4 linked regions of the Drosophila melanogaster genome follow. Changing the gene in region 1 together with any one later gene gives a genetic interaction. Each region holds a gene or a part of one and is shown in the gene's direction. Other genes may lie near its edges. The genes, in order: ssh, Vap33, sick and mbt.

Evidence for each region.
Region 2: of ssh (region 1) and Vap33, changing one suppresses a phenotype caused by changing the other (phenotypic suppression), as found in Drosophila melanogaster (one study listed by BioGRID).
Region 3: of ssh (region 1) and sick, changing one suppresses a phenotype caused by changing the other (phenotypic suppression), as found in Drosophila melanogaster (one study listed by BioGRID).
Region 4: of ssh (region 1) and mbt, changing one suppresses a phenotype caused by changing the other (phenotypic suppression), as found in Drosophila melanogaster (one study listed by BioGRID).

What each region holds. Positions count from the first base shown.
Region 1 is NT_033777.3:24,938,029-24,945,753, reverse strand, and holds ssh (slingshot), read left to right. Parts: upstream 1-1,858; 5' UTR 1,859-2,104; coding exon 2,105-2,164; intron 2,165-2,232; coding exon 2,233-2,478; intron 2,479-2,543; coding exon 2,544-2,935; intron 2,936-3,227; coding exon 3,228-3,293; intron 3,294-3,356; coding exon 3,357-3,551; intron 3,552-3,617; coding exon 3,618-3,887; intron 3,888-3,972; coding exon 3,973-6,325; 3' UTR 6,326-6,751; downstream 6,752-7,725. Other genes in the region: Nmnat (nicotinamide mononucleotide adenylyltransferase), read right to left, coding at 1-228, 301-496. UniProt on the Drosophila melanogaster protein: Protein phosphatase which regulates actin filament dynamics. Dephosphorylates and activates the actin binding/depolymerizing factor tsr/cofilin, which subsequently binds to actin filaments and stimulates their disassembly. Required for axon growth.
Region 2 is NC_004354.4:3,946,574-3,955,916, forward strand, and holds Vap33 (VAMP-associated protein 33kDa), read left to right. Parts: upstream 1-2,401; 5' UTR 2,402-2,799; intron 2,800-2,907; 5' UTR 2,908-3,076; coding exon 3,077-3,140; intron 3,141-4,841; coding exon 4,842-4,994; intron 4,995-5,062; coding exon 5,063-5,172; intron 5,173-5,255; coding exon 5,256-5,468; intron 5,469-5,534; coding exon 5,535-5,648; intron 5,649-6,193; coding exon 6,194-6,349; 3' UTR 6,350-8,869; downstream 8,870-9,343. Other genes in the region: Gem4c (gemin 4c), read left to right, coding at 1-1,016, 1,076-1,530; lva (lava lamp), read right to left, coding at 9,302-9,343.
Region 3 is NT_033779.5:19,824,203-19,830,508, forward strand, and holds the start of sick (sickie), read left to right. Parts: upstream 1-2,271; 5' UTR 2,272-3,071; coding exon 3,072-4,676; intron 4,677-6,306.
Region 4 is NC_004354.4:16,608,132-16,616,000, forward strand, and holds mbt (mushroom bodies tiny), read left to right. Parts: upstream 1-2,553; 5' UTR 2,554-3,060; coding exon 3,061-4,231; intron 4,232-4,302; coding exon 4,303-4,574; intron 4,575-4,645; exon of another isoform or gene 4,646-5,143; intron 5,144-5,406; coding exon 5,407-5,883; 3' UTR 5,884-6,725; downstream 6,726-7,869. Other genes in the region: Nup153 (nucleoporin 153kD), read left to right, coding at 874-967; CG9782 (uncharacterized protein), read right to left, coding at 7,379-7,527, 7,699-7,869. UniProt on the Drosophila melanogaster protein: Involved in neurogenesis of the adult central nervous system, and together with Cdc42, regulates photoreceptor cell morphogenesis. Phosphorylates exogenous substrates when activated by Cdc42.

The sequences.
Region 1 (7,725 bases):
AGTTCTGGTGGTGCTGGAGCACCGCCTGCGTGCGCATCCACTGATTCTGGTGCACCTCCCAATCGGACAACCGAATCCAATTGGAGCTCTGGGTGGCCAGCTTGACCATGGCACATCTGTCCAAGGCGGAGGCCAGACCCTTTTTGCCATATGAGTCGTGCGTGGGCGAGATGATGCCACCTACCACTCTGTGGGTTCCCTGCATTTCGAAGTGGTCCTTGGCTATCTCTGTTGACAAAAACATGCCGCGTAATTTTATCGATTATGTACCGCAGAATTTCACAATCTAGTTTAACTCACCGAACATCCGAAGGTGCATGGGTGTGGGTGGACTGAAGCATCCGCAGGCTATGAAGGCGATCCGCGGCAGCAGGCTTTTTGTTTCCTCGATGAATGCTGACATTTTCTTCGATTTTGAGCGTCTTTTAAAAGATCCAAACCGCCGGAAGCATTCGCTTGTTATGTTGTTCTTGGGCCAGCTGATTTTCACAATCATCTGTTCGGCTTGTTGTTATTTTCCAACACTAAACAGCTGTGCAGTGGCTACCACCTCTGACTACCTTTGACTTGTTATTCGATAAATGATAACTTAATGTAACTTAATTTTTTGATTTTTAATCATCAAAAAGGCAAGAGTACATAAAAATGTATTAAAGCCTGTTTTACTGATATATCAAGAAGTATACAAACATCACTGCGTTTCTCATTAATAAGTACTTTTTTCGGTGTACCACACGAACATTGCTTTCGCTTGCGATAGTTAGCCAGCCCTGCCAGAACGATTGCCTGACGATACTAGTGTTATCGATTAGAAATGGCGTCCTCACTGTCTTTCTTTTAAGAAAAATTCGTGTAGTCTATTTACCATTTAGCAGCGTTGTGTGTGTCCGTTAATTGTAAGGACACGCTGTTTCTTAGAGAGAACCGCCTGGCTAGAGTGTCCGGAAAGCGGAAACCAAGACGATCGCAGGACGAGGTCGCGGAGCCGACTGCAAAAACAACGGCCAGCAGGCAGCGATATGAAAATGCATTTGTAGCCTTAGCCCACAACACTTGCACACACACCACACACTCTCGCGCACACTCACACACAGGGAAAAGGAGGTGGAGCAGAAGGAGCCGAAGCAGGAGAGGATTGCAAGGGACACCGCTGCAGCATCGCCATCATCTGCGCCAGGTGGAACACGAGGGTCAAGAGGCGTCGGCGGGGGAGGAGGAGCAGGAGGTGGAGGAGCGGCTGCGGCGACGACGACGACGTCCACGACCACGGCAACAACAAATGGCGCTGGTGACGGTGCAGCGCTCTCCCAGTGTGGCGGGCTCCTGCTCGAATTCGGTGAGAGGAGACTTGATGGTTTTCGCGTGTGCGTATGCGTGTGTGCTTTGTTTTGGTCACCCCCACTCTGCCAGGAGAGCCAATTACGGGCAGGCTCTTTAGTGCGTGTTCCGCTTTTGGCCATGATCCTTTGTGTGCTCGGATGTGCTTTTCATGCCCAATGTTTATCATCCGCCAGCTTGTTGCTTACGCTTTTTGGATTTCGACGTTCAACGTTCGCGTGTGGGCGGTATGAGGCAGCGTCATCATCGTCATCGGCTGTGCTGCGCTGCGCTGCTTTTGGTGTAACCCAAGCAAATCCGCAGACGTCGCGACGTCTATATTTTTCAACAGACTTTTGCATTGCCTTATTTGTCGTTTTTGTCGCTTTCCGCTTACCGCTTGTTTTTGTTTTCTTCGCCGCCCCACCGCCCAAAAATAGTTCGCGAGACCTTGACGTCCGCCTGCACAGAGGGAAAAATTAATATCGGGGGTTGATCAATTTAATTTTACAAAACGTTTTAATTCAGATATGCTCAATATGTCAAATCGGTATTTTTGAACACATAAATTAACATTTTATTATTTCTAAGAAATCAGAAAATATAAAAAAAAAAAAAATACTTCACTAAACCGGAATCTTTTTCGAACTTGTGACCCTTTTCTCAAAATCAGACGGTATTCAGTTGAACAATCAGATTTCTTGGAACTGCAGATACAGCTTTGCTTCTTTTCCGCCCTTGAAGTGTAGACTATAATCAGGAGTTTATCTTACCCCTTTGCAAAATAATGAGCATGCAAGTTTGTTCTTTGCCAGACGACATCCTTATATTTAGCCTAACCCCACGGGTGAGGTGCAGCAGGATAAGGTATTCTTAAACACCGAGTAAACAACTTTCCTTTCTCTATAACATCAGGATGGCGAGTCCGAGGACGACGAGGGCAATAGCAAAGGAAACGATCGCAGCGAGTGCTTCTTTGCCGGCAAGGGAACCGCCCTGGTACTGGCTCTTAAGGATATCCCGCCCCTGACGCAAAGCGAGCGTCGCCTGAGCACCGACTCCACCCGCTCCAGTAACAGTACGCAAAGCAACAACTCGGACATCCAGCTCCACCTGCAATCAATGTTTTACCTGTTGCAGCGCGAGGACACGCTAAAGATGGTGCGTATCCAATGTAAAATTACTTTGTCTATCTTTTAAACATATCTTTCTATTCCTATCAAAAGGCTGTCAAGTTGGAGTCACAGCGGTCCAACCGCACGCGCTATCTGGTGATTGCATCGCGTAGTTGTTGTCGGAGCGGCACCAGCGACCGTCGGCGCCACCGGATCATGCGTCACCACTCGGTAAAAGTTGGTGGATCCGCGGGAACAAAGTCGTCCACCTCCCCGGCGGTCCCCACGCAGCGTCAGCTGTCCGTTGAGCAGACCGCCACAGAGGCCAGCAGCAAATGTGATAAAACAGCAGACAAGGAAAACGCAACGGCGGCCGGCGACAACAAGAATACCTCGGGCATGGAGGAGTCCTGCCTGCTGGGCATAGACTGCAACGAGCGGACCACCATTGGCCTGGTGGTGCCCATCCTGGCGGACACCACAATTCACCTGGATGGCGATGGGTAAGACTGGGCATTCATCTCGTAAGAGTCATGCACTCATAACTGCCTAATTGTCGCTATTAACCTTGGGAATTATTTATAGAATTAATTTAAAAATTAGCCGCCCCTAATCTATACACAAATCGGTGTCGCCTTGACCAATTTCCTAGTTGAGCGGTGGCATTTATGTCGCACATTTGTTTCCAATTTATCTTAAGCTATTTTAATAATAGCATGGCAGAGTGTATTTGTTCTGATAAACGTGTGATGTGCATTTCCTTAATTTCAATGGTTTATCTTATCTTGCTTTCAGCGGATTCAGCGTCAAAGTGTACGAAAAAACGCATATATTTAAGCCGGTCTCAGTGCAGGCCATGTGGTAGGTGCCTCCTTTGGAGTCAGATCCCCTTCAGTCACAAATTAAACCCTTGTTTCTTTCCAGGTCCGCGCTGCAGACGCTGCACAAAGTGTCGAAAAAGGCTCGTGAGAACAACTTCTATGCCAGTGGACCCTCCCACGACTGGCTATCCAGCTACGAGAGGCGCATCGAGTCGGACCAGTCTTGTCTGAACGAGTGGAATGCCATGGACGCGCTCGAGAGCCGCCGACCACCTTCGCCTGATGCCATACGAAACAAGTAAGGGTTCGGTACAACTAATTATTTACGGTTTTAATTCCTCTTTCCCTTGAATGCCATAAACAGACCCCCCGAAAAGGAGGAAACCGAAAGTGTCATTAAGATGAAGCTGAAGGCCATCATGATGTCAGTGGACCTGGACGAGGTCACCTCCAAGTATATACGCGGACGCCTCGAGGAGATCCTGGACATGGATTTGGGCGAGTACAAGTCGTTTATCGACGCCGAAATGCTCGTTATTCTAGGCCAAATGGATGCCCCCACCAAGATTTTCGAGCACGTCTATCTGGGATCAGAGTGGAATGCCAGCAACTTGGAGGAGCTGCAGAAAAACGGGTATGTTTAAGAGAAAAAAAAGGCCACACTATTGATATCCTGGGAAAATTGGCTAAAATCAGCGACAACTTATTTTCATTTTCAGCGTTCGCCACATCCTGAACGTGACGCGGGAGATCGATAACTTCTTTCCGGGCACCTTCGAGTATTTCAACGTTCGCGTGTACGACGATGAGAAGACGAACCTGCTCAAGTACTGGGACGATACGTTCCGCTACATCACGCGGGCGAAAGCCGAGGGATCCAAGGTGCTGGTGCACTGCAAGATGGGCGTCAGCCGATCCGCCTCGGTTGTCATCGCATATGCCATGAAGGCTTACCAGTGGGAGTTCCAGCAGGCGCTAGAGCACGTGAAGAAGAGGCGCAGCTGTATAAAGCCCAACAAGAACTTCCTCAATCAGCTGGAGACGTATAGTGGGATGTTGGACGCCATGAAGAACAAGGAGAAGCTGCAGCGCAGCAAGAGCGAGACGAACTTGAAGAGCACAAAGGACGCGCGACTGTTGCCTGGTAGCGAACCAACGCCCCTCATTCAGGCTCTAAACCAGGCCAAGTCGAAGTCGACTGGTGAAGCGGGCGTAACACCCGATGGCGAAGAGGAGGATGGTTCACGCATGCACCGGCGATCCATCGCCCAGAAGTCACAGCGTCGCATGGTTAGGCGCTCGAGCAGCACATCACCCAAAACCCAGACGGCTGTGGTTACCAAGCAGCAAAGCCAGTCTATGGAGAACCTTACGCCGGAACGTAGCGTGGCCGAGGAGCCAAAAAATATGCGCTTCCCAGGCAGCAACGGCGAGAACTACAGCGTCACCCAGAACCAGGTGCTGCACATCCAGAAACACACGCCTCTGTCAGTGCGCACACGAATTCACGATCTCGAGGCGCACCGGGCGGACCAGCTGCCACAGCAACCTGTCTGGACCTCGCTGACAAAACTGATTACACAGACCTCTCACTTGGGAAAAAGTGTCAGTGGCAGCAGTAGTGGAAATATTGACTCGCGGCGGGATTCTAGCTGTTCGGATGTATTCTCCTCGCAGGTGGACAGTGTTTTTGCCAAGGATGAAGGGGAGAAGCGCCAGCGTCGAAAGACGCACTCCTGGACAGAGTCCTTGGGTCCAAGTGGCGGCATCGTCCTGGACCCCACGCCACAGCAACAGAAGCAGCAGTCAAACGCCATTCTGCGTCCCCGAGGCACACGTCAGCGGGAGCTGCCTTCGCGGCACGCAAGTTGGGGATCAGGAGACAACCGATGCTGTCTGCCGCAGAGGACCAGTTCCGGCTCCTACTATGACTCCAATCGCAACACTACGGCCATCTTCGAGGGCGTTATCCAAGACCTCAAGCGCAGTTCCAATTGCAATGTAATCGAAGGAGTCGCCGTTGCTGTGGAACCGATAGTTGGAGTTGGCGAGGGCACCGTAAAGCGCACCAAGCAGAAGCTGGAAGAGAGCACCTCGCTGAAAAAGCGCTGCCAGGAAGAAAGCCAGGAGCTGCTACTCGAGGCTGTGGATGCTGGGCAGAGGCGGTGCCCAAGCCTCTATAGGAGCGCCTCCTCGGCGCACAGTCCGCGGCAGCGTCAGCCACTACGCTGTAATAGTGAGGAGCTGATGCACACCAGCGACATCGAGAACAAGAACACCACGCCAGGCGACCATGAGGCGACGGTAGTGCTGCGCGTCCAGGGACAAACGCTGGCCGACGATCAGCGCATCTCGGGCAATGTGCAAATACTCAAGCAAAATTTCGAAGCCAAAGCGGGAGTGGTGGGCACAGGAGGAGGAGGAGGCGGTGGCACTGCAGCGGGATCGGGCAGTAGTTCAACAATCGCAACGTCGGTATCGGCGGTGGCCGGAGCCTGCTCAGCGAATCCCGGCAAGAAGACGACTAGCCACCAATCACTGCCATCGTCGCCGGTGGCGCAGCATGCCAACCACGTGTCCGCCGCCTCCAACTCCAACTCCTCCGCCTCCAACTCGTCCGATTCCAGCGTAAGCGAAAATTGTGATCGTAATGTAAAAGGTCTAGTGCATAAATATCAAACCACTACTTCCTGCAGTAGCCAGGCGGCCGCCACCCCCACAGTCGCCTGTGCCCCACTGCCACCCGCCGGAACCGCCAGCAACATCAGCCACTCCTGCAGCACCACTACCACTACTAGCTTCAAGCAACGCCCGCTCTCCTACTACGACCGCTCGCTGTCCAACAGATCCACGCATGACTATAGCGACAGTCGACCGCCACCCGCGCCCGTCCGCGTCAGTCACAGCAGCAACGTTCAGCACCAGCAACAGCAGCAGCAACAACTGCAACCGGAGCAGCATCAGCAGCAGGTGCAGATCCGGCGGTTGGCGCAGCACGGGAAGACGCATCCGCTGAGCAGGCTAAGTGCTCCGAAAACAGGCTTTAACACCGCCGCCTACAACACCATGTAAAGGCCATGCTCTGCTTAACAACATGCTAACTGCAAACTGCAACATTCACATACCACTTGCAACTTGCAATCCATACCCTGTAGCCACTAAGGATCGTCCTCATCCTATCGCCTGCTTTACTTATTTATATACTCGCCCGCTTTCGACCATTTTGTGTTTTTTGTCCAACAATCGAACACCACCACCCCATCCATCCCCTCCATCATGCCTCGTGTTTGTTGTCTTGTTGTGTAAGGCGTCCATGAAAGCTTCTAAAGATCTTGTGTCTGCAATGTGTGAATGGAACTATTAAGATGACAAGAGAGGGCAAACAAAACAACCTATGGAAATGAAACTGTATTTGTACTTTTAAATTACTTGTAACTGTATACATATTTATTTTATATTATGCAAGAACTGCCTACGAATAAACGATTTATTGTATATACGTCATCGTCTTGTCTTGTGAGTGTCCCTGTGCCGTCCATGTGCCATTCACACCACAACTCCCATGTGTTGCCCAACAAACACTGCCCTCCGTTTTTACCAGATTTGTATTTGCAGCCTTATCCACATGATCCGCTCCTTCCGCTACTCTTGGGCGGAGTACAAGAAGTGATCCGGCACATGGAGCACCGACTGCCGAGGCCGCGGCCCAAAAGTTCCCACCTTGAACACTTGTATTTTTTGCCATTTATCAGACCACATATTTATAAATAAAAATGTGTAATCCAATTTCGAGCGCAATCTGTTTTACTGTTGGCCATGAGTCACCTTTGGGTACACACATAATTTAATAGTGACCGGAGATATGAATTATTTTCACATATTGTATAATTACAAAGAAATTAACAATTACTATTTAATATAAATGTAATTTGATGTAGTTTGGGGATTTTAAAGTTAAATGTAGATATAGCAAGGTGTGTATGGAAGGAAAAAATATATGGGTTCTAAAAAGTTTTTTTTTTAACAAAATCCTTATCGATTTGAAAATAATAATCATATTTCTAAATATTGTTTAACAAAATCCTTATCGATTTGAAAATAATAATCATATTTCTAAATATTGTTTAAGCTTTCTAACGGCACAGTGTTTGAAAAAGATTTTTTCAGATCGCAGATTATCGTTGCCTATCGCCCATCGATATGTGTAGGAGGAAACGCAACCAACCACCTGGTAACACTGACACTCACACACCTGCAGATGCGCCAGCACACACACACAGAACACACACGCACACAGACGCGCACTGAACTTCCACTACAGTTTCTTTATTTTCTGCAGGAAAATTAGAAGCAAAACGACACGAAATTCGCAGTGAACTCGCGGCGGACTCGCGACCGTAACGTAATCGGAATCTCGGTGGTGATCCGGAGGCCAAGTGCACACCGTGCGATGCTAGCCACTGGCCAGCAAT
Region 2 (9,343 bases), on another chromosome or scaffold:
GGAGTCCGAAATGGTGGTCGAGGACGAGGGCATATCCGTTACGGAAGTAAATCAGGGGGATGACGAGGACGAGACCTCGTCCAACGATGATTACGAAGAGCTGCTAAGCCTAGTACTGCGTCCCTTATTTATGCAATTAAATGTCGAGGACAAGATGGAAGTACTGCTATTGCGCGATGAGCAAAACGTTACCCAAGGATTTAATTTCAAGGCTCCCGATCATCGGGAGCGTCGCATACGCTTCTTTAATCAATTGGATTATAATAAGCGCTTCCCGATAACCAAATTTCTAGTACTGTGCTTTGAGAACGCAAGACAGACCTGGATTGATTTCTCCCACTTGGGCGTGACGCATACTCGCTTCTCGAAGCTATTCTGGCACATAGCTCAGTCTTGTCCCAAGCATGCTGCTTTTCATATTTCCGCCTGTGCCGATAACATCTTGGTGAACGAGCAACTACTTCAAAAGCCGTATGCCTTGCAGTTTACACTCTACCTATATGGCCACCGACAGATCCTCAACGGTCTCTACACGTCAGCGCGACAACTGTGCGTTAGTTTGAAAGACGGACGGTGTCCCTACGGAGAGGATGAGCTTAGGCAGGCGCAAAATAGGTTCCTAGACGCGTGTGCCTACGGTTTGGCCAAGTTTATAGAGCCCATGAACTTGCCCAGCTTGCAGTTAATCTTGAAACTGCTCAAGCAGATTAGTCTGGGTGAAAGCAATCTAATCACCCGAGGCACTGCAGAGTTAAATGCACTCGAAAAGGAGCACCCGAAATTGGAGAACGGAGACGATGCACCAGCTGTCAAGGTGGCCAAGCACTACACATATCTGAATGCCAGCTTGCCAGAGTGGCGTTTGAAACACTGGAAGCTGATCTCGCATGTCATGAAAACCATTGATGCCCTACGCTGGGACTTGGCCACCTTTGAAGATTTCCGGGTGGATAATTTAGAACTGGCGGTGTGGTATTGGCAGGACGGTCTGTCTCATCTGACATTCCTAGGCACTGGTGCGCTCTTATAAATGTAAGTCCAAGACGAAAGCCTACTAATTATTGCTCTTTCACAGAATGCCGCCAGAGGATCTTGAACCAAGTGAACAGTTTAAAGCACAAGGGCTTTTGGCTCATCTACCTTAAAGAAGACACCTTAAAGGACACACGCTCCTTTCTCAAATTGCTAACTCAGTCCAGTGCACAGGAGGCTAACGATCTCTTCAAAAAGCTCCTTAAAAAAAGGGCCGATTGTGCTGTTATGGGCGATCTTAGCGATGCAGTGGTCAAGGTGAACAGCGAGTCCGCTTTCATGGCCTTTAGATTCCTATTTCGAGAATATTTGATCGCCTTCCGGAGCCACGCCAAACACAATAAGACCATCACGAAGCGCCAGCATTGGGATCATTTGATGGCCGTTGTGGCCAAGGCTCCATTCTCCATTCGCAACGAGATTATGAAGCTAGCTAGTAAAGCCTTCGCTGTGCGATTCGGCATAAATATCCAGGAACAGCAGGCGGCCAAGTGTTAAGGAGATGCTGTTAGAAGTGTAATTTTCTTAAGCCAAATCGAAACTCCGCCGCTTGTCCAACACTTTAATTCTTAGGCAGTCAGATCTCTATATGACTAAAAACATATATAATATTCATAACGCTAGGATTGAACATCAGAATAATTTGATATCAGATTATTTTACAACTTTGTATGTCCTTTAAAAGGACGACTGTATGCACATAACAAATGTACCACTACCATGCAAATTTTTTGTCTTACTAAAAATACTTTGGCAAGCAAGTGAAGTTATTCAGCTGAAAATTAATAAAATTTTGCATGTTCTTTTTTTTCGTATTATTATGTATTATATATATAATATACAAAACGCTATGATTGAACATCAGAATAATTTGATATCAGGTTATTTTACAACTTTGTGTGTCCTTAAGGCCGACTATATTTACATAAAATATGTAATACTACCATCAAATACAAATTTGTGTTCTATTAAATAAATGCTTTGGCAAGCTTAAAATTATTGTAATTTTGCATGTTCTTATTTTTATTCGTATTTTTATGTATTACTTCGACTGCTTTGCTTCCTGTTGCAAAATTGTAACTTAAAACTAGGAAAATTTATTTTAATACATTTTTAAATTTCATGTACTCGTTATGTTATAAATTTAACTAATTTATATTCTGTCAAAAGCTGAATGGCATTATTCAGGGAAAGGAAAATTTTGGTGCAAATTGTTATTAATAACATTTTCAAATTACCTAAATAAAAAAAAATAGAAAAAATATCTTGTCTTAAAAAACACTATATATATTTTACAAGGTAATTTAACGACCAATGCTTGACAAGTATCGAAAAGTCGCTAAACTAAAAATATCGATACCCGATGCATCGATATTTTTTTCACATCACTAGCTGACAGAATATATGGCTTTTTTACATTTTGCGTTTTCAACTGAAGTTTGCGAAGAAACCGAAGCGTGGTAAACCACTGAAATCGAAAATATCGACAGAAAAGCGACCTAAAGTCGGTGAAGAAGTCGCACGTTGATCGTTGTGTTTTTTTCCCGAAATTTTCTGCAAAAAGCCCGTGCGTGCGTGAGTTTCTCTGGCTCTTGCTTTTTTTTTGTCCATGCGTGTGTGTGTGGTCGCATAAATTTACCGATATTTCGCCTGTGAGAGCGAAACGAACGAAAAACGAAAGAAAAAAAGAGAGACGAGTAAAGTAAAACGAAACAGGCATAAAAACAGCAGCAGTTTTCTTGATATATTTGGCTAAAAAACGCAAACGTAAGCGAAAAATTTGAAATCCCTCTTTTAATTTAGTTGTGTGCCTGTGTCTCGTATCTATGCGTGCGTCTGCATTTTAATATAATTTTGTGTGCATTTTCTTAACAGCAAACAGCCAGCAAGAACAACAAATAGCTGGGCAAAAACAGGACGCACAAAAAATAAAATTAAAACGATAAGAGGCGAAAAGCGGAGAGAGTGAAATTCTCGGCAGCAACAACGACAAGAACAACACCAGGAGCAGCAGCAACAACAACAACAAAAGCCAGCCGCCACAATGAGCAAATCACTCTTTGATCTTCCGTTGACCATTGAACCAGAACATGAGTTGCGTTTTGTGGGTAAGTTTATTTTACATTATTTTCGCGTTTTTGCGGAAAGGTCGCTGCATATCGACCAAAAAAGCCGATTCACCTCCCATTTCTTGCAAAGAGCAAACTGCAAGTTTCACTTTTTCTCTCTCTCACGCGCACATTTAATCTCCCTCCCTCTACGCTTTCTATTGCCATCTCGCTCGATTGGCTATCAATAATTTCCGTTGTTTTTGTTCTTCCTTTACATACGACACCTTTTATTGTTGTTCTTTTCGGGGTCTACGTGTATCATCGCTCTGCTTCTTTCCGTTTTTTTTCTTTTTTTTTTTTTTGCTTCAGCTCTTTAATGTATTTTATTTTTTGATGCCGGCAGCTGGCGTCGCTCTCTTTCTCACTTGCACTCGCCATCCCTCTCCCTCTTGCTCACTCGTTTCGCGTTTTTGGCTAGCATTATATTTTTATACGCAAAAACTTGTCATGGGCCATTTTAATTTTTTCTTGTCTTTTGGCTCCTTGAATTTTGGCCAAAAAGCAACAGCAGCAGTGACAAAAACAATGCAAAGAGCTCGCACAGTGGGTGCGACAAGTGGCACGGTTGTCATCGCATTGTTATTGAACTCCTGTTGCCAAGCTGCATTTTCCAGTGCATAAACATTTAATTTTTTTCGCGAAATTTTATCACAGTCTCAATTGCAGAACGAAATGTCTACTTAAATGACCAATCATTGTTGATTGCGATCTAGAATAATACACCAATAACCATTCACCATTTGTATTTTGTCTTATTGAAAAAAATTGAGTTAACTTTTCAAGTATTTTGCTATCGCTTCCATTGTGCGCAAATATTTTAATATCTGTGTATGTGTGAGTGAGCCTTAGCCCCATTCTTTTGCAACCCCCTCGCCCACGTTTCCCGTTAGATCGTGAATAGTGCGGTCGGCGAGGGGTGAAAAACACATGCATGACGCGACTTTGTCTAATGAAATTTCCTTGACACACACTTACACCAAAGAAAAACACGCACACGCCATGCTAACAAACAAAAAAAATTCCTTTCGTTAGTTTTTGCCCATTTCCTGGTTTGTTTTGATTTTCTCACCAATGCCTGTTAAAAATGTGACCAAAAAAACTATTTTAGAATGTAAGACCCCGCGATCGATTTCTAGTCGGCTTAAAAGTAATATTCGGAGTAATACTAGCGTTTACTAATCACATTAAATCTGAAATAATTTGAAGTAATTTTTGTAATTTCATAATAGTTTCAAAATAAGTTACACATTTTGGTAGTGAATCCAACTTCAATATGCAGGGTATTCCTCGATATTCAGTTTACTATTCGGTTTTTGTGCCCGTTCTCGATTTTGTTTTGATATTAATTCAATTAATTTGAACTTGCCTCGACCAATGACGCAACGAGCGTGACGCTACACAAAAATCAGGAAGAGTGGGGAAAATCGGGAAAGTAGAGAAATGTGGAAAGTGCGAGTGTTGGGCGCTTTTGGGTTGGGTGGGGCTATCGCCAAAATAGTGTGACTAATCGGGTGCATTCAATATGAAAGGGCGATAATGCCTGTTTTATTTAAAGATCATATCATGAGGAGAAAATCGGAAATCAGAAAATATTAACAATAGGGAAATATGTATGTACATATGCGTTATATGTGCCATGAAATTAATAAGATGTGTTCCTTAAGCTAACACTCATTTTGATATATTCTCGCCTTACAGGTCCCTTCACCCGACCCGTTGTCACAATCATGACTCTGCGCAACAACTCGGCTCTGCCTCTGGTCTTCAAGATCAAGACAACCGCCCCGAAACGCTACTGCGTACGTCCAAACATCGGCAAGATAATTCCCTTTCGATCAACCCAGGTGGAGAGTGAGTATTTCTCAAATGGTATATCGTTACTCTAATAATATCGTTACTTATCCTCGGCATGTACATAGTCTGCCTTCAGCCATTCGTCTACGATCAGCAGGAGAAGAACAAGCACAAGTTCATGGTGCAGAGCGTCCTGGCACCCATGGATGCTGATCTAAGCGATTTAAATAAATTGGTAAGGGGAAACGAATAGGACTCTTAATGATGGCATAGTGTGTATATTACTTTTCTAATCAACGTCCTATTCTACACCCGCAGTGGAAGGATCTGGAGCCCGAGCAGCTGATGGACGCCAAACTGAAGTGCGTTTTCGAGATGCCCACCGCTGAGGCAAATGCTGAGAACACCAGCGGTGGTGGTGCCGTTGGCGGCGGAACCGGAGCTGCCGGAGGCGGAAGCGCGGGTGCCAATACTAGCTCAGCCAGCGCTGAGGCGCTCGAGAGCAAGCCGAAGCTCTCCAGCGAGGATAAGGTATGTTAAGTCGAACAGGCAAAACCTTTCTAATGGCATAATAAATAACGCTAACATATTACCCAGTTTAAGCCATCCAATTTGCTCGAAACGTCTGAGAGTCTGGACTTGCTGTCCGGAGAGATCAAAGCGCTGCGTGAATGCAACATTGAATTGCGAAGAGAGAATCTTCACTTGAAGGTAAGCCAATTCCATTATGACTCTTCATTTTTTCTGTGTTTTGAGTAGTGCAATGTCGAAGTTACTGCTACCTAAGGGAGTTCCTCAGCAGTATTATCAAGATGTCTTCAATATTGAATATTCAGTTTTGTTCGCAATCGGTTAGAATGAGTCGATTCAGCCATAAGGAGAAGCAGGCCTCTGACTTTTTTCAAATTATAGGCTGTACGCGATGATCTCAAAATTGATATGAAAATTAATGACACTATTAGTGACAATTTCTTGCATTAGGTTGCTGTGGTGTACTAAAAATAATCAGCCTTTAAATATAAGTAAATCCAATTTGGTAATTCCAAGAATAATGCAAATAATGATCTGTTGTGCCTGGGAGTTTTCTGCGCGCTTGATATATAATTATTGTTATTATACAATAACTCGGTTCAGTTGGGGTGCTGATTTGTTTTCGAGTTCAAAAAAGAATACATAGGATAAATATTTTGTAAGTAGCCAGATAAGGATCAATCTATCCATTTGTGTAAATTAATAAATTTCTCAACCATTTGCAGGATCAAATCACACGTTTCCGGAGCTCGCCGGCCGTCAAACAGGTGAATGAGCCCTATGCCCCAGTCCTGGCTGAGAAGCAGATTCCGGTCTTTTACATTGCAGTTGCCATTGCTGCGGCCATCGTTAGCCTCCTGCTGGGCAAATTCTTTCTCTGAATGCCATAAACGAACGCCAGCAACATGCTACATGCAACGTGCAGCAACAGTAACAGCAAGAACAGCGGCAACACCATCATACAGCAACAGCAACAACAAAAGCAAAAGCAGCAGCAGCAGCAGCAACTAACAATAGCAACAACAACGAAAGAAGAACAGCAGCAGCAGGAGCATTAAAATAAATTTAATTGGCAGAAGAAACAAACCACAGAGACGAATGTAAAGCTGACTAAACCGGGGACCGTATACATTTAAACGGTTGTATTGAAAATCAAAAATAATCATTGTTTGTTAGCGAAACAAGTATCGCTCAGAATAGTATGGATTATGATGTGAGAAATATTGTTTGGTTCCAACATATTGCTCAAAGACAGATTGGCAGTTCTTGTTTTTAATACGAATCTTAACGAGACTTAAGTGTAAAGCATTCGAAACAATTTTAAGCTGTATTGACGCTTCGTGTATTTCAACCAAAAATATTTAAGTTTTTGCAAGATCTCGCTTGAATTAGTCGCAACCGGACTTTGAGTAATAAGAACATTTGGGCCCTATGAAATCCCTCACATCATAATCAATACTTAAAAAAAAGAAAACATAACGAATGATTACTTTTGGTACCTGGGCTAAACAAAACAAAAAAAAAAAAAAAAAACAAAAAAAAAACCGCAGAGAAAGGGAAAAATAGAAGAGACGTAAAATCGTATTTTCGCAAGGGGGAACATCTCTCAAGAACTCTTTAAAATCCGCTAAGATCCATACGTATATTTGCTCAGATTTTCGATTGCATTTTTTCGCTATTATTAATTTGTAAGAACTTAAGTTTAAAATGCCTCACAATTCGTTTTAATAATTTTTCGATGCATTTGCAAACGGGAAAAGTCAAGTATTTCAAAGAATAACAAAAATTATCATTAATCATACCTTCTCGACGAAACTAAAAGAAAAACCAATTTGTTACTTGAGTGCGAGAATAAACTTCAGTTTTATCAATTTTTTTTATTATTTGCTTTCTTTTTGTTAATTAATTTTTTGCAGCCACATAGACCTAGATGTAAAATTTAAATCGAAAACAGAAACGCAAATGTCAAGAAAAAAACATTTAGCAAAATGCAACAAAAATTAAGAAGAAACACTTGTATGGAAAACCAATCAATGAAAAGCTTCAAAAAATAAAAAAATAAAAACAACAATGCTCTGCAAGGCCGACGCTCTCTAAGAAAGAAAAGTTGCTTCACCTCACCCCTCGTCCCATCACTCTTTCTCATTCTCAACCGTCTGTCCCTCTCTAAATCCCGAAACGAGATCGAACGCGGACGGCGGCTCTATATATACATATTTATATATAATCATTATTGTTTTGGTTGGCATTTGCATTTACTAAGTTTCGTTTTAGTCACTTCAGTGGTTACATTACTACACACATACACACCACTCAATGAACGCTATATATATATATATATATATAGATATATATATATTATATGAATATACTAAATTTCTGTAAGCAAACCTTTATGTAATTTGTGTTGTTTGCCAAGGTCGAATTGAACGATTTCCAGCCCAAATGGCACCGAAATTGAGAAAATCCATCAACTGTATCCGACACGCCGATATATATACGATCTAATAAGTGCAAAAAAAAAATCAATCAATTTTCTAAAAAAGAAAACACAAAAAAAAAAAGGAACGAAAAAACCTTTACTAGAAGCAAAACAAACGCGTGTTGTTCATGGTTTACACTGCACCCGTGGATCCATAGATTTGGATCCATAGATACACCCACCCACCCACTTGGTTCCTTTCGTAGCGCCTACTATTTGCTGGCGATGCATCTTGTTTCACACAATTGTTTCCCCAACACATTTCATTGCTATTGTTCGTGGTTACGACTTTTTTTATATAGTTTGCAAAGCATTGAAAAGGGTATATAGATTTATACATGAATATATATTCGCCGACATGCATGATCGCTGTAATTTCATAGGCATGTGGAAAACTCGTATTTAAATGTTTAACTAGAAATACAGAAAAGAAAAGAAAAAATAAACTAAAAATAAATAAAAGGAAATGTGGAAATAAACAAATGATAAAGACAAAAGCAAATCATAAGCAAATTGTACTTGATGTCAGCTGTAGCAAAAAAAAAAAAACAAAACACAATATATATGAACATAATAATAATAATAAAATGTGAAAACGGAACTTAACATTCAAAAATTGTTTCGATACATTTAACAACATTCAATTGCATTATTTGATTGAAGTCAACCGACACACACACACACTTTACTCACACCCGAAAGAGTCTGTCTCCTCGCGAAGTAGGCGCAAAATCAACGAAAGTTGTAGAAGATCTGGAAGCTGGAGATCAGCACACACACACACATACACACAAGAGAAAAACAATTATTATAATATTTACAGCATGAATCTTAAAAACTAAGCGTTTTTTTCTCAAAGGAAAAGTAAAATGAAACATTGTTAATTAAACATCAAATATCATTTGAAATAAATTTAAATAAAACGAAAAGGAAACGCAATGGTGTCTTATTATACAACTGTGCTATAAATCCCATTTAAGCAGCAGAGATTGTATCCCTTATAAAAAATGCTTTGGTTTAGTTCTTAAATTCTCTTTAGTTAAGTTTTCTGGTTTTTCTTCAGCTTCGTTTCACAATTCGTTTTGTTTTATACAATTTTTACATATCTACAACATAAAACGTACGCGTTTGGAACAAATCGGGAATACGGCTCGAACGGCCAAGGGGATGAGCTTTTTTTTTTAGCTAGCCAAGGTACATAATATCGTATAAAGAACTCTAATGCTATTGCCATTGTCCGCACAAGGAAGGCCAGGATCGAAGTTAGTGTAATGATTTGTTATTAAAGTGCTAGTCGTAGGAGTACGGGCTTCTGGACGTGTGGTCGTTCTTGCCGCGAAATGGAAATTGGCTAGCCAGTGGTTTGGTGGCCCGCCTCCTCCTCCTTGTTGTT
Region 3 (6,306 bases), on another chromosome or scaffold:
TTGCACATAGATTCTGATTTAGTTTTATACATATTTTTTTGTGCCCTCAAGCTGGAGCGGAAGTTGTGCGTTGTTTTTGTGGTCCTTTGCCACGCCTACCACGCCCCAACTTGCGGCGCAACTCAAAAGTCCTTAGAAGTGTTTCAAACTGTCATACGCATTGTAGTTGGCTCTTTTTATTCCCTTTTTACTTTTTTCGGTACGGCCTTTGCACTTTATTTATGCCCTGTAATTTAAAATTTCCATATGGAGTTTGGCCAAGAATTTACTGAATTATATGAATTTATACCTACCCTTTAAAATTCTCTCAATGTTTGTTAGAATTTTCGCCAAATATATTTGTTTTGATGCAATTTTCAAATGAAATCTAGTGGATAGAGTATCTAGAAGTCACACAAAAGGCGTACTTATGAGTTTTTTCTGGCAAACCTCAGCATACTTATACTTCTCTTCTTTGTTTGAATAACGTTTTGGGTTCTGGTTGGGCTTTTTGGTGCAATAAGAGCAACTGAAGGATGGAAAGAAAAGCGTGCACTTTTCAAAAGTGGGCTTTTGTGTGGAAAGCGAGTCGAGGGGCTGGGATTCTGGTCAACTCACTAGCAAATCAAAAGCATTTCTAACCAACTTGCCAGCGAAGTTTGCACAGCGTGTTGGGCGCAGAAAGCGGCGCTAAAAGAACTCAGATTGAGTGCAAATAAAATGATGTCATGAAGTGGGTGGGCGGGCTAAAAGGCACGGAATGCATGCTCCACTTTATTTCAGCTATCAACTCGTAAAGTTTGCGGCTTGATGGCCTCCGGCAAAACGTCGGGTTTTCCCAGTGGGTGGAAATCTGTTCTTTTTTTCAGAGCTGCAGAGCTGAAAGAGACCACGGCAAAACTGCAATTACAAGTTGGAAGAGGAGGACTCAACTCAATGCGCAAATCTTGACAAGTATTTTGTCAACTTTGACTGCTGCCAGCTGGAAGCAAAGGCAGATGAAGTGCGAGCAACTTCAACCTCAAAGCAAAAGTGTTTAACTTTAAGTCCTGCCTTCTGCCTTTCTCTTCGGGGTCCTTTCATTTTTTTCCTTTTTGCCCCCATTTCGTCCCCATTTCACGGAATCGTCATGGAAACTGAAAGTGTCAGGGATTAGGTGATGCTGGAGTAGAGAGCCACTATCCACGTGGCTTTCAGGGGGATTTTAAGCCCAGGGGAATGGACGCAGACAAGGATTGTGTGGCCTTATAGGAGTTAAACATTTAATACGTGTACTGCCCAGTTATAAAAGTATAGATTCAACTGATTAGAGCACATTTGTAGAATAGATTTTAACATTTCTGCTTCTTTAACTACAATCGTAATGGTGATGTAAAGAAAAACTGTGTTGTTCCTAGAAGATGGATTACCAATTGCATTTAATCTGGGAAGTAAGTCAAACTGGAATTTTATATTATTTGCATTTATCACCATTTCATTAGCATACTTTGCTAATCTGGATAAATCAACCTTGGGCTTGAGTGCTGCCCAACAGCCCTCCCCTTTTCAGCTGCCTACTTTGACACTAATTAACTTGATTCAGTATTCGAGACTACTGCCATTGCCTACTGCCATCTGCAATTCAATTAAAAATTAACATTTTAATTGCAAATTACTTTCAGTATACTTTATGGGACGCAGGCACAGACACCGGCAGAGAAACTCCACTTAACTGGAGTAACTTCTTTCGCCTCTGCCACCTGCAGCCTGCCATTTCCGGAAACGGAAGTAGCAGGATGAAGAGGAAGAAGAAGAGGAGCCATTGGAACATCGGCTCATTGCGAGGCGTTTAATTCTATCATGCGCCAACAATTATGCAACTTGTTGGTTCACTGACTCAAATGGCCAGGCGGTTTTCAATTTGTTGCCAATAAAACTTTTTCCATTTCGGTTTCCTCTCAGTTGTTGCCACGTTGGCCTGGCGAAAAATGTTCGTCATAGTTTTGTTTTGTGAGTGGGCTGAAATAAAGGAAATTAAAAGTTCATTGCTGGTTTTCCGAGTGGAAACAATGCTGGGATAATCTCGATTTGGCGAACATGCTGTTCTTTGGCATTGTTCATTATTTGTTATATCTATTTGGATTACTCACATTTACTCTACGAATCTCAGCAAGTGTAATGGAAAAGATACCTGTACGTGAGTGATGAACCATTCCTTTGTTCACTTCGCTTTCCACTTAATAAATTCATGGATCCATTTGCTGTCAATTTGTTATTGATATCTCCGTTATGTCTGCATTTTTGCGACCGGGGGGAAACTGAAGGAGAAATGAAACTTAATCAAATGTGAAACTCTAGCGAGCACTTGATATGCATTTTCGTATTGAATTTCCCTTCCAGCTTCTATCGCACAATCGCTTTTATTCGAAAATTGCACGAACAAAATAATACCTGTGCTGTTTGCCGGAAGCTGAAGAAAAATGTATGTGAATGCTTTTCGGTTTTTTCAATTTAAAGCATTTAAGTTGCAAATATATATGTATCCACCTCTGCGGCTTCAATGCACAAATTCAAGTTAAAACCGCATGTGCAGTACTTTAATTGTATTATTGTTCACCATTTATCGCAATCCCTGCAGCGTTGGCTTCCTGTTAATTGCTTTGTAGACAAATTATAAAAAGCTCGACTTTGGCATTGTTTCGGCGGCATTCTGGAACACTTCAAAAGCAGACGAAACCACGGCGTAACCATGACCATGACTATGACTCTTTGCCCGCAAAAACAACCTAGAAACGTATAACTCTTTTTTTTCCCCCGACCAGCTGGGTCAGTTTTAATTTAACTTTGACATGCATCAGCTAAAAAATCCAATTACAAACACAAATGTAAACAGAGATAGTAGAGAGAGAGAGAGAGAGGACATGGAAAAAGGACCTTATTTTTTTTGGTCGAAAGACTAGAAAACCCATTAACGCGTTTTTGCCCTCCATAAAGATGAAGATTTATAAAGCCATTAATTTGGCCCAAGCGGCGAAAAAATGTATACAAAATTTGTGAGTGAGTGTGTGAGTGAAAAGTGCTGAGCCCATGGAAGCTGCAGTGAAACCCTAGAAATGTCCAGTCAGGCAGGAAAACTGCGTCCGGGTTCCTCAACCAAGCCCGATCGCAATGCGAATGAGGAGAACCAACTGGGCGCCAAGCCCAAGAGCCAAAGAACGGACAATCATCATCAGAATCAACCGAAGATGTTGCCACATCCCAACTACATGGAACTGGAGTTCCTTGCCACGGATCCCACGGCATCGGCGCAGAGTACGGCCTATCCGGACTTACCAGTTAGCTATGCCACCTGTTTGGTGGGTCCACCACCGTACAGGGATCCGCTGCCTCCCACACCACCGCCCCTCTCCCAAATGCCATCGAGGCTGCTCCACTCGGCCCCCAATACGCCCAGTCGTGGCAAGGTGGTGCTCAGCAAGAAGGAGCGCAAGGAGCTCAGCAAGCAGCTGGGAATCGACGAATCCTCGATCCTGAGCAGCAGTGCCCAGTCGAGTCCCTACAAAGGACGTGTGAGTGAGCTGAAGAACTGCATAGCTCGTGGCCTGTTTGCCACCCTTCATAGGGGCTCACAGAAGTCGCTGCAGCAGCAGGAGGAAAGGCCCATCAGTCAGGAGATATCCCCGCCTCCTCCAGCTCCAGAATCAGCCAATAATAATGAAGATGTGGCGGATTACTCCGAAAAGCTAAGGAATCTACCAGTGAGACAGCGCAAGGCTGCCACCTCGCACATGGAGAACTACTGTCTCTTTGATCCCGTGGACTTTATCAACGAGAAAGCCATGAGATATCCCAGTACTCAAGCCCACGGATTGAGGGATCCCCTTTTCAGCTCAAGACAGCACTTGGTCTGCGAGGATGAAGATGAACTGGTGCCAGAAGTAATATACGATAACGAGGAGCTCGAGTTGGAGGAGACTATTATCATAGAGACTTCAGCTATGCCAGAAGCGGAATCAGAAGCAGAACCGACTGCCAAAAATTCAGAGACCATGTCTAGTTTTGATCACCACAACTACTTTATTATAGACCCAGCGAACTTTCCCATGGACATCGGCATACCTAATCCCTATACCAACGAGCAGCTGGTGAATGCCAAGTTGGAGCAACAGAACCTGGAGAAGCTCTTCAACGAACTGGAGAACACTGCCAGCATGTCGAACAGCCAGGAGTCCAAAGATACGGAGACCACATCCACGGCCCTCGTAGAATCATCCACCTCAACGAACTCAGCAAGTTCCGCGGGCAGCTGTTCCCTGGCCAATCCCGCCCAGCAATCGATGAAGAAAAAGCTGACATTTCTGAATCTTTCGCCCTTTCGCAGTGGCAAAAAGTCTATCGACAAAAATACTTCTGAGCAGCAACGTGCCATTTCCGAGCTGGTCAGCACGGATCACATGTTGCACCTGCAACAGTTGTTGCAGCAACAGCGAAAGGATCAGCGTTCGCACACGGTTCCAACGGAGTCCAACTATGTGCTCTTCAACCCGGGCCCAGTGCCTAGTCGACATGTCCAGTACAAGATACGCAAACCACGACCTCTATCAACCCACAGCGATGCGGATAGTGGTTTCCTATCGCCCTGCTCCCCCGAAGAAATGCGTGCGAATCCGGCCATTTTGGTGCTTCAGCAGTGCGACAGTGTTCAGGGATATATGGAGGTAAGTCTGTGAATATTTAATGATATAAATATATAAAATATCACCATGACATACAAAAAGAAGAAGCTTAATAGAAGCATCTGTTAGGTTAATGGAGAAAAAAACCGAAAACCTAAACCACTTCTTATTTTAAACAGAACTTTTGTGCTTCAGCTTACAAAGTAAAATTCAATTTTTATCCAGACATTTTTCGAAGACTTTCAAGAAGAAAGAAAACCTTTTCCCAAAAAATACAAATCATTTATCTTTGTTAGCTTTGATGGCTTGTCCTGACAAAAGGGAACTTTATTATTACCTATGCAAATCTGGGTTTTAATGCTAAGATGCAGCCCGAAAAGTGCCACAATAATGTTCAGCTCGGTGGGGCTCACCAGCAAATGGCTTATTTTGGTGAAGCTCTTATGACCCTCTCAATATTGCAGTGCATGTGGCTAGGTTTCATACATTTCCTACATAATCCTCTTACCGTAATGTGAATCGCCGCATTAACCATTGGAAGGAACCCCACGCAGCATCTTATCTATATGGATAATTTCGCATATCTTAAGCCGGTAATCATTGCGGGCTGTTTCCGTAGTCGCACTTGTCGCCATTTGCCGGCTCACTTATCTTAACGAGCGAGCAACTTAACAAGTCTTATTATGCATCTTCAAACACCCCAGGGGAGGTGTTGGCTTACCCCTCGAAGGACCATTTTCGGAAAAACCCACCCGCAAAGGCGATGAACAAATGTCACCCCCAACGGCCGAGTCCTCGAGTATAAATTATCAAAAAAAGAGAAGAACGAGTCACGGAATTGCAGTTTGGAGGCAGTGCACTGCAGATGATTCCCAAAATCGAGGGCTTTTGAGAGCAGTTCCTGCTGGATTGCATCTGGCTTTCCCATTTTCCCCCGCCCTTCGCTCTTCGCTCTTGTTTTCCTCGTTGCCTCGGGGGAGCAATCAATCGTCGCGTTTTCACTGCTCGCTTCATTAGTTTTCCCTACCGCCAAACATTAGTTTGATTGTGTGCCCAAGTGAGGGACAGGTTGCAAGAGAAGAGAAAAGCAAAACCCAGAAGGAAACAACAAAAACACACACCAGCTGCGAATGTATGTTCAATCTTAGCGACTTTTAATGGAATTGAATTAAAATTGTTGCCATGGTGCCGAGTTGAAAGTGTGTGTACTTACACCCCTACTGGCCCACATAAGCTATTCGCCCTTCCCAATTTTCCGTGCCACAGGCATTTCCCATCATTTGCAAATTGAAATACGCGCTGTACATTTTTGCTTTGAGGCATGCTCCCCCCCAAAAAAAAAAAAACAAGGAATTACAGCAGCCAAAGAATCTCTTGGGGCAGTTTTTTGCCATCAGAAGCATCTAATGAAACGCCGACAGGACATCAAGTGAAGCACACTTTTTGGCCCAGCTGAAGTGGCCGGCAAAGTGTCAAGTGCATTGCTTTTCATATCCTTGTGGGCCGTGGTGGTTGGTTAGTTCCTGGCTGGCTGGATGGATGGATAGCAGGCCGGGTGAGCTGCAAATGAAGGTTTCCACGAAGAAAGGTCGAGGGATGATGGGGCGAGGTCCTGCGGCAAATGGAATGTAAATTGATATAAGCGGGAGAGAGGATGCCAAAACAGAATCAG
Region 4 (7,869 bases), on another chromosome or scaffold:
TGCTGTCGCCCTCTTTCCGTACTTTGAATTGATCCTTTTACCAACACAATCGAAGAACACAGAGACACACACACACAAACACACACAGCTGCATTATAATTGCATTTGTTTTATTTTTAAGCATTTCGTTTTGTTGTGCGTACCATTTGTTTTGTTTTTGTTGAGAAGAAAAGCTTACTACCTATCATATTTACACATGGGTAAAATAGGCATTAACAAGATTGTTCAGTTTTCCGAATTTTGAAAAGCAGGCTTAAATCAATTGGCCAAAAAAAAATGTGGTATGTTAGCTTAAAATGGGCTTTATACATTTACAATGTTTTAAAATCAAGTGATCTAATTAAAAAAGATTTTCAAAGAAAAATATATTCGTAATTTAAGTTTAGAGAGACAAAATTCTTACAATCATTACTTACTATATGTTTTCGCCCTCATTTACCATTTATGTTCATAAAAAACTGGTTTAAGCTGTGCTTAAAAAAATCAACTAATGAAAAATGAATAGTATTATAAATCAATCATTTTAATCATATTGTCATATATGGAAACTGGCCACAAGTGAAAACTAAATCGAAGTTAAAAACGCATCCATTTCCTCCACGGAATGGTTTATTTACCATTGTGTAAATAGGATATATGTAGCATTTTCTATATCCTGCGAATTTCATATTTTACTATAGTTTGTGTTTGTCTTATTTGTGTGTGCCATATTGTTTCGTTTTGTTCATAGCATTTCGTATCCATATATTATTTGTTCAATTAATGTTTTTTGTCCACATTACTCGCTGTAAGCAGCAGCAGCAACCGCCAGTGGGAGTCTCGAAATTGACCAACCAAATATGATAATGATACTAATCCATTGTTAATCCGCAGCTTCAATCCGCCAGCTGCGGGCAACTCGGCGCAGAGTTCCCAGACGGCTCGCCGCAAAATCCGCGCCCCCGTACGCCGTTTGCCGCCCCGGTAGAAATGGCATCGCAGTCGGCCATCACGATAGCAAATGAGGCCGCCGTCGGATTAGGATTAAGATATTGGCAGCCATTGCCGAGAGTAACAGAATCAGCAGTAGCAGCAAAAGCATCAAGGGCCGAAAAGGAAAAGCAAGACACAGAAGACGCCGGCAACAATAGTGGGCTCAAAGGTTCGGTCCAGAGCCAATATCACCAGGAGCCAGATATTCAAGGATCATCGAGGATAAACATGCAGTCACCAAAGTCGCCATGTGTGAACAAATACCGCTTCGTACGCCGCCACAGCCTGAACTCTGAAACCAGGAAACCCTTTAGCAGGAATATTTGGCAGAATACAACAGGAGAAGGCAATGAAACCAATGGCGACGATGTCCCTAAAACACCAACAACTGGCGACCAGGAGGACAACCAACAGGAGGAACGAGATTCAGCGGTATATACATCAACAGAACGAACTGTACTAGTAAGGACCCAATTCAAGATAGTGCGGCAAAGGAGCGTCATCTCGAAACCGAGACAGAAGCCTCCGACTTACTCTTAAAAAGCTAAGGAATAGGTTCGTTCCACATCCTTCTCTGCTCTCCGATGATTGGGAGATGACCACGCGAATGTCGCTCATACTACGCATATTGATGATTACAAATTATAAAAACACTTCGTTGGATTTACGCGAGAATTCATCGCACCAAAAAAAAAACGAAAATGAATATATTTTAACGTTATTTTTGTTGAATATATAATATACCTTAACGATAATTATGTAATAATTATTTTGCGAAATAGTAAAGAAACGTGTAATGCTGCAATCAAACAGAGATGCGAGGCCATGTAATAGCGCAAAAAATCAACTACTGTATAATGTAGTAATACGTATATTCGAGTTATTGGCCGATACGTCGAGCATATGATGATTGCAGTCAGATAAGAGCGATCGGCAAACGATTGCATTAAGTCTTTAGTTTTTGTTATTAATTTTAGCGTTTAGATTCACACACACACAATTCACACGAGGAAAATACCTGCAACGACGTTCTGTGCAGCAGCCAAGGTGGAAAGCCAACAAATTAAAGAAAAACAACTATCTAGCAACGTAAAGAAACCAACCAACCCTATAGCTAACAAGATAACAGATTAGATGAAAAGATTAGAGAGAATGGTGGCAAACTGGAAAACCGAAAGAGTTATAATTGTATGCATGTTTTTTATATACATAAATTCATAAAGAACATTTAATATTTTATTTTAAGTTTATATTGATCATTTTTAAGTCGAGAACAGAAATGGAAATCAGAAGTCTATGTTGAGAGAGAAACGGTATCATAATGTAAATAAGTAAATATATGCGGTATGATAATTTAAACATTGTGCTCTTTACTTGGGTTTTCAACTGGAATTGCAATGAAATTCTATAACGAATATTTGGTGTCTTAAAGTACATATCTTACTTTGAATGGTAATTGTTTTCAGCGCGAATACTTTACAAACATTTGAATTTCGAAAAGCCAGTTGACCACAGGCGAACTCACCATGCCACGGCAACGGTCACACTGCCGCCATTGCGATAGACATCGATAGCCGTTCCAGCACTAATACTCACGATAAACACCACCTCTATTTCTGGCATCGGCAATTATTTCCCTAGGTTTATTATTTTTTTGTTAAGCGAATTGCTTGTGCGCTCGTGCTGTCGCCATAATGTGTGCAATGTGTGCCAGCCAGAGGAGCAAGTGGTGAAGGTGTATCGCTTGTGCGCATCTCGATTTGTCCATCCATATCCAATTGAATCCCAGTTTCCCAGTCGCGTCCGCTGCTATGCGTGTGTGTGTGCGTGCGTGCCCGTGTCCCTGCATGTGTGTGTGTGAGTGAGATCGGGAAGAAGTTGTGTGCTGTTGTTGTTGTTGTTTCTGTCGGATTTGCCGTTGCCATCGTTTGTTGTTTGTGCATTTTCCATTGTCGGGCGACGCAACAAAAAGAAAAAAATTACACATTAAAAATAGAGAGCAAGAGCGAGAGGGAAGGAGTGGTGTGGAGTGGAAAAGGGCGGTAAAAGGGCAGAAATTTGGAGCACGGGAAATCCGAGTCGCTGAAGATGTTCTCGAAGAAGAAAAAGAAACCGCTGATCTCGATGCCCAGCAATTTTGAGCATCGTGTGCACACGGGCTTCGACAAGCGGGAGAACAAATATGTTGGCCTGCCCCTCCAATGGGCGTCCATTGTGGGCAACAATCAGATACTCAAGTCCTCCAACCGCCCGCTGCCACTGGTCGATCCCTCGGAGATTACGCCCACCGAGATTCTCGATCTGAAGACTATTGTGCGTCCGCATCACAACAACAACAAGGCGGACACCACCTCGCTCAACAGCAGCAGCACAATGATGATGGGCTCAATGGCGCCGATGAATCCCATGGCACCTGGCGCACACCCAATGATGAGCCATGGCCCCGGAATGATGATGCCACCCGAGACGGGCGGCATAGTCCTGCCGAAGACCTCTCACGTGGCCAGATCCAATTCGCTGCGGAGTTCCAGTCCGCCGCGAGTGCGACGGGTAGCCAATGTGCCGCCATCGGTGCCGGAGGAGGAGGGACCACCGGCAGCTGGAACACCGGGAGTAGGTGGAGCTAGTAGCGGTGGCTTTAAGCCACCCGGTGCCCATCCCTCCCTGCTCTATAACAGTCAGCATGCGCACGCGAATGGAGCAACAGGACCACTGGCCGTGCGCACGGATCAAACCAACCTGCAGCAGTATCGCAGCAATCTGGCCCCGCCATCCGGCGGCTCCATGCCCCAGCAACAGCAGACTTCGCCCGTGGGTTCGGTGGCCAGTGGCACGCGATCCAATCACTCGCACACGAACAATGGCAACAGCGGCGGCAGCTATCCTCCCATGTATCCCACAAGCCATCAGCAGCAGCAGCAGCAGCAACAGCAGGCCAAACAGGGTGGCGATCAGAACCAAAATCCTCTGCATCCGCATGCTCATCCGCATCCGCACCATCACCAACATTTGGCCAAGTCGGCGTCCAGGGCATCCAGTTCCAGCGGGGGAGCGAGCAGTGCTGCCCAGCAGGCGAGCGGCGCCAGTGGAGGAGCGGCGGGTCAGCCAAAGCAGGACCAACGACTCACCCACGAACAGTTCCGTGCCGCCCTTCAGATGGTGGTCTCCGCCGGTGATCCACGCGAGAACCTCGACCACTTTAACAAAATAGGCGAGGGCTCCACGGGCACCGTATGCATTGCCACGGACAAATCCACAGGCAAGAACATCCGCTTTAACTATTGTCAAAACCATTGAATTAATGGCATTTGGTTTTCTCATTACGTACAGGTCGCCAGGTGGCCGTGAAGAAGATGGATCTGCGCAAACAGCAGCGACGGGAGCTGCTATTCAACGAGGTCGTCATCATGCGGGACTACCATCATCCCAATATCGTGGAGACATACTCCAGCTTTCTGGTCAACGATGAGCTTTGGGTGGTGATGGAGTACCTCGAGGGCGGCGCCCTCACCGATATTGTCACCCATTCGCGCATGGACGAGGAGCAGATAGCCACCGTCTGCAAGCAATGCTTGAAGGCTTTGGCCTATTTGCACTCACAGGTGCGTGACCAGCATGACACTGCCCCTTTCCTGTCCCCGTTCCCATTACCATTCCCTTGGCCAAACTGGGCAGCAGAGAACGGAGTACTCGCCATCATGCGATTCTTTGTGCCTTTGTACCTTGCCATTTGCGGCGCTTTCTTCGCCCTCCGCTTTCGCGTGGCTTTGGTTTCAATTTCTAAATGTTGTCACCAACAAAAGTCGTCGGCCGCACAGTGGGCCATCGAGTGGCGTAGCACGCCCAAAGTGCCAGGTGAAATCGCACGTGCATGCCCTACCTCAAAGCGAAAAGTGTGCATAGAGCGATTTTCGAATGGATAGTTAATTGCATCTTATGATGAAGGAAGTTTAAAGTTATAGTTCATTACTCATTGATAGATAAGCCAATTTGCTATGATTTTGCCTGAGATACAACTTGAGATATTAAAACTATCAATATTAGAATAGCATATAATAATAATATTAAGTCAGTCAGTCAATTGGAACTTGTTTAAGCCCCAACATTTCACAATACTAAGCATTCCTAATGTTTTAGATGTAGTCTATTTAAATGAAATTAGAACTAGAACCCAACCTGTTTATGCTATCTTCCACGTTAGGGAAACCAGCGTGTTCCCAAGAGCAGGAAATTCTTTTTGGGCGTTGCAGGGTCGATCTGGTTTCTTTTGTGCATTTCTGTCCCACGTTGGCTCGTGTAATGCGATAAGTGTCTGTCTGCGGGAGAAAGGGCGTTGGTTGGGGGAAAACCGCAAACTGTGAACGCTTTTAACCAATTTCCCTTCTCTCTCTGTCTCTTTCGACGGTGCTGCCGATGGCGATAAACCATAAACAGGGCGTCATTCATCGCGACATCAAGTCGGACTCGATTCTGCTGGCCGCCGATGGTCGCGTGAAGCTATCGGACTTTGGATTCTGCGCCCAGGTGTCACAGGAGCTGCCGAAGCGCAAGAGTCTGGTTGGCACGCCGTATTGGATGTCGCCGGAGGTCATATCGCGCCTGCCGTACGGCCCGGAAGTGGATATCTGGTCGCTGGGCATCATGGTCATCGAGATGGTGGACGGCGAGCCGCCGTTCTTCAACGAACCGCCGCTGCAGGCGATGCGTCGCATCCGTGACATGCAGCCGCCGAACCTGAAGAACGCGCACAAGGTCTCGCCGCGCCTGCAGTCCTTCCTCGACCGGATGCTGGTGCGGGATCCGGCGCAGCGTGCCACCGCCGCCGAGCTGCTGGCCCATCCCTTCCTGCGCCAGGCAGGACCGCCGTCGCTGCTGGTTCCGCTGATGCGCAATGCGCGACACCATCCGTAGTTGGATGCCACTGGACAACCCAGACGATCCGGCTGCTCGATGAAAGCAATCATTCCCACAGACAACGGATCCCGGCCCGTGGGCATCCATCTATTAAATTCTAGTATTAACATTCAGTTTGGCAGCTGTACTTAAATCCCCGGAGAATCCTCGAAACGTTGTAAAGTCATTTAAGCTCCGCACATCCATATCCATATCCATGCCCACTAACGTTCCAGAAGAGAACGCAATGTGCCTTTCACAAGCCTCGAAATCGAAATTGAAATCGCATCCTGCAACCGATACGGATGGAGAAACGATATAGCATTTATCTGCCCGAGAACCACATTTTTATATATATATATATATATACATATATGAGTATTTCAGCATTTTGCTCTCTGTCTCTTGTCAATATTGATTTGTGTGCGTGTGTGTTTGATTTTTTTTAACCAGCCCATAAAACATTGTTCGAATATATACATATATACGCTAAGAGCTAATGTTAAAAATCTATATATATATATATATACACATATATTTTTTATAAAAACAAATCCTAATTCTAAGCAAAAGCGAAACAACGAAGGTGTGAATCGAAGGGAGACAGAAAACGAAAGAGAAAGAGATAGCGTTAGGCGGAAGAGCATATACAATTTCGACATAAATATTTTTTAAACATTTTACATTTTACATTGGTGTGAAAAGTTTGTACGCTCCAGACATACACATATGCATATATCTAAACACATTCCCGATTTCGAAAATATTTTAGAACTTTTAGCTTACATTCTTTGTTCTGTTTTTTTGATTTAACCCGTGTAATTATTAATTAATGAATAAACTTAAATGCGAAAATGTTCAATTTTGTGGTTTCATTCATAGTTAAAAACTACCAAAAATAACTAGAAATCCAAAAAAAAATTTCTGAATAGAAATATTGAATATTTTAATATTTTATTCGACATTTTGGAGTTTCATTTTAAAGATATTTCTGTTTTTTTTATTACAAACTAATTGAAAAATGCATGTTTCGATTTTGTTGTTTTTATTACTGGTTGATTGATTGTTTGATTGATTGATTGATTGTTTGATGGTTGTGAAGAATACATAATTGTGCCCGCTTAAATACTCGCACATATATTCGCAAAATATATATGCGTATTTATCGCGTACATGAAGGATGGGGTACTGGCTCTGGATAAGTGGGCGTGGTCGTTGTGGCGTTGGTGGGTGGGTGTGTGTGAGTTGAGTGAGTGTTGTGTGTGCGCGTGTGTTTTTGTTTACAACATAAGATTACAAATATATTACATACACGAAAAATCAATTGCGAACTAAAAACTAAAGGGCAGATCGGGCTGCCACATAGCTAGCCATATGATTCGATGGGTAGAGGGGGGGGGGGAGAGAGAGGGGAAATGTGGTGTTGGAGAGGGGGGGGAGGGTTTGTTGTTTGCTGGTCACTGGGAATGTGTGTAGAATAGGAGTTGGATCTGATTGACACTCAAATCAACGCTCAGTTGCGCTTCCGCAGGGCCAGACGACCGATGGGGCGCTTGGGCTTCGTCTCCTCCTTCTGCTGCTGCTCCGATTCCTCAGCGGCGGCATCCTCCACCGCCTCCACGGGCGTCGCCTTGGCGGGCTTCGACAGCTTGCGACGGCTCACTGGGGATAGTTAAAGCGTTAGTTAGTAATGGATTTAATAACTTGATATAGAGAGATGATTTTAAAGATTTCTATTCTAGTTTAATGTCAATTATTTCAAAATTAGTAAATTCAGAAGGCACTGCTAGTCCATTTAGAGCAAAATCCTGGCCTAATCCCTGACTAACTTACATGCTGAGTTGCCCTTGTAGCCCTTGGCGGGACTGGATGCTGGGGCGGGTGCTGGCGCGGATGCCTGCTCCTCCTGCTCGCCGGAGTTGGACTCGTCGCTCTTCTTGGCCGGCTTGCTGGGACTGGGCGGCTTCTCGGCACGGTGCTTCTTCGCGTTCGCCTGACGGCGCT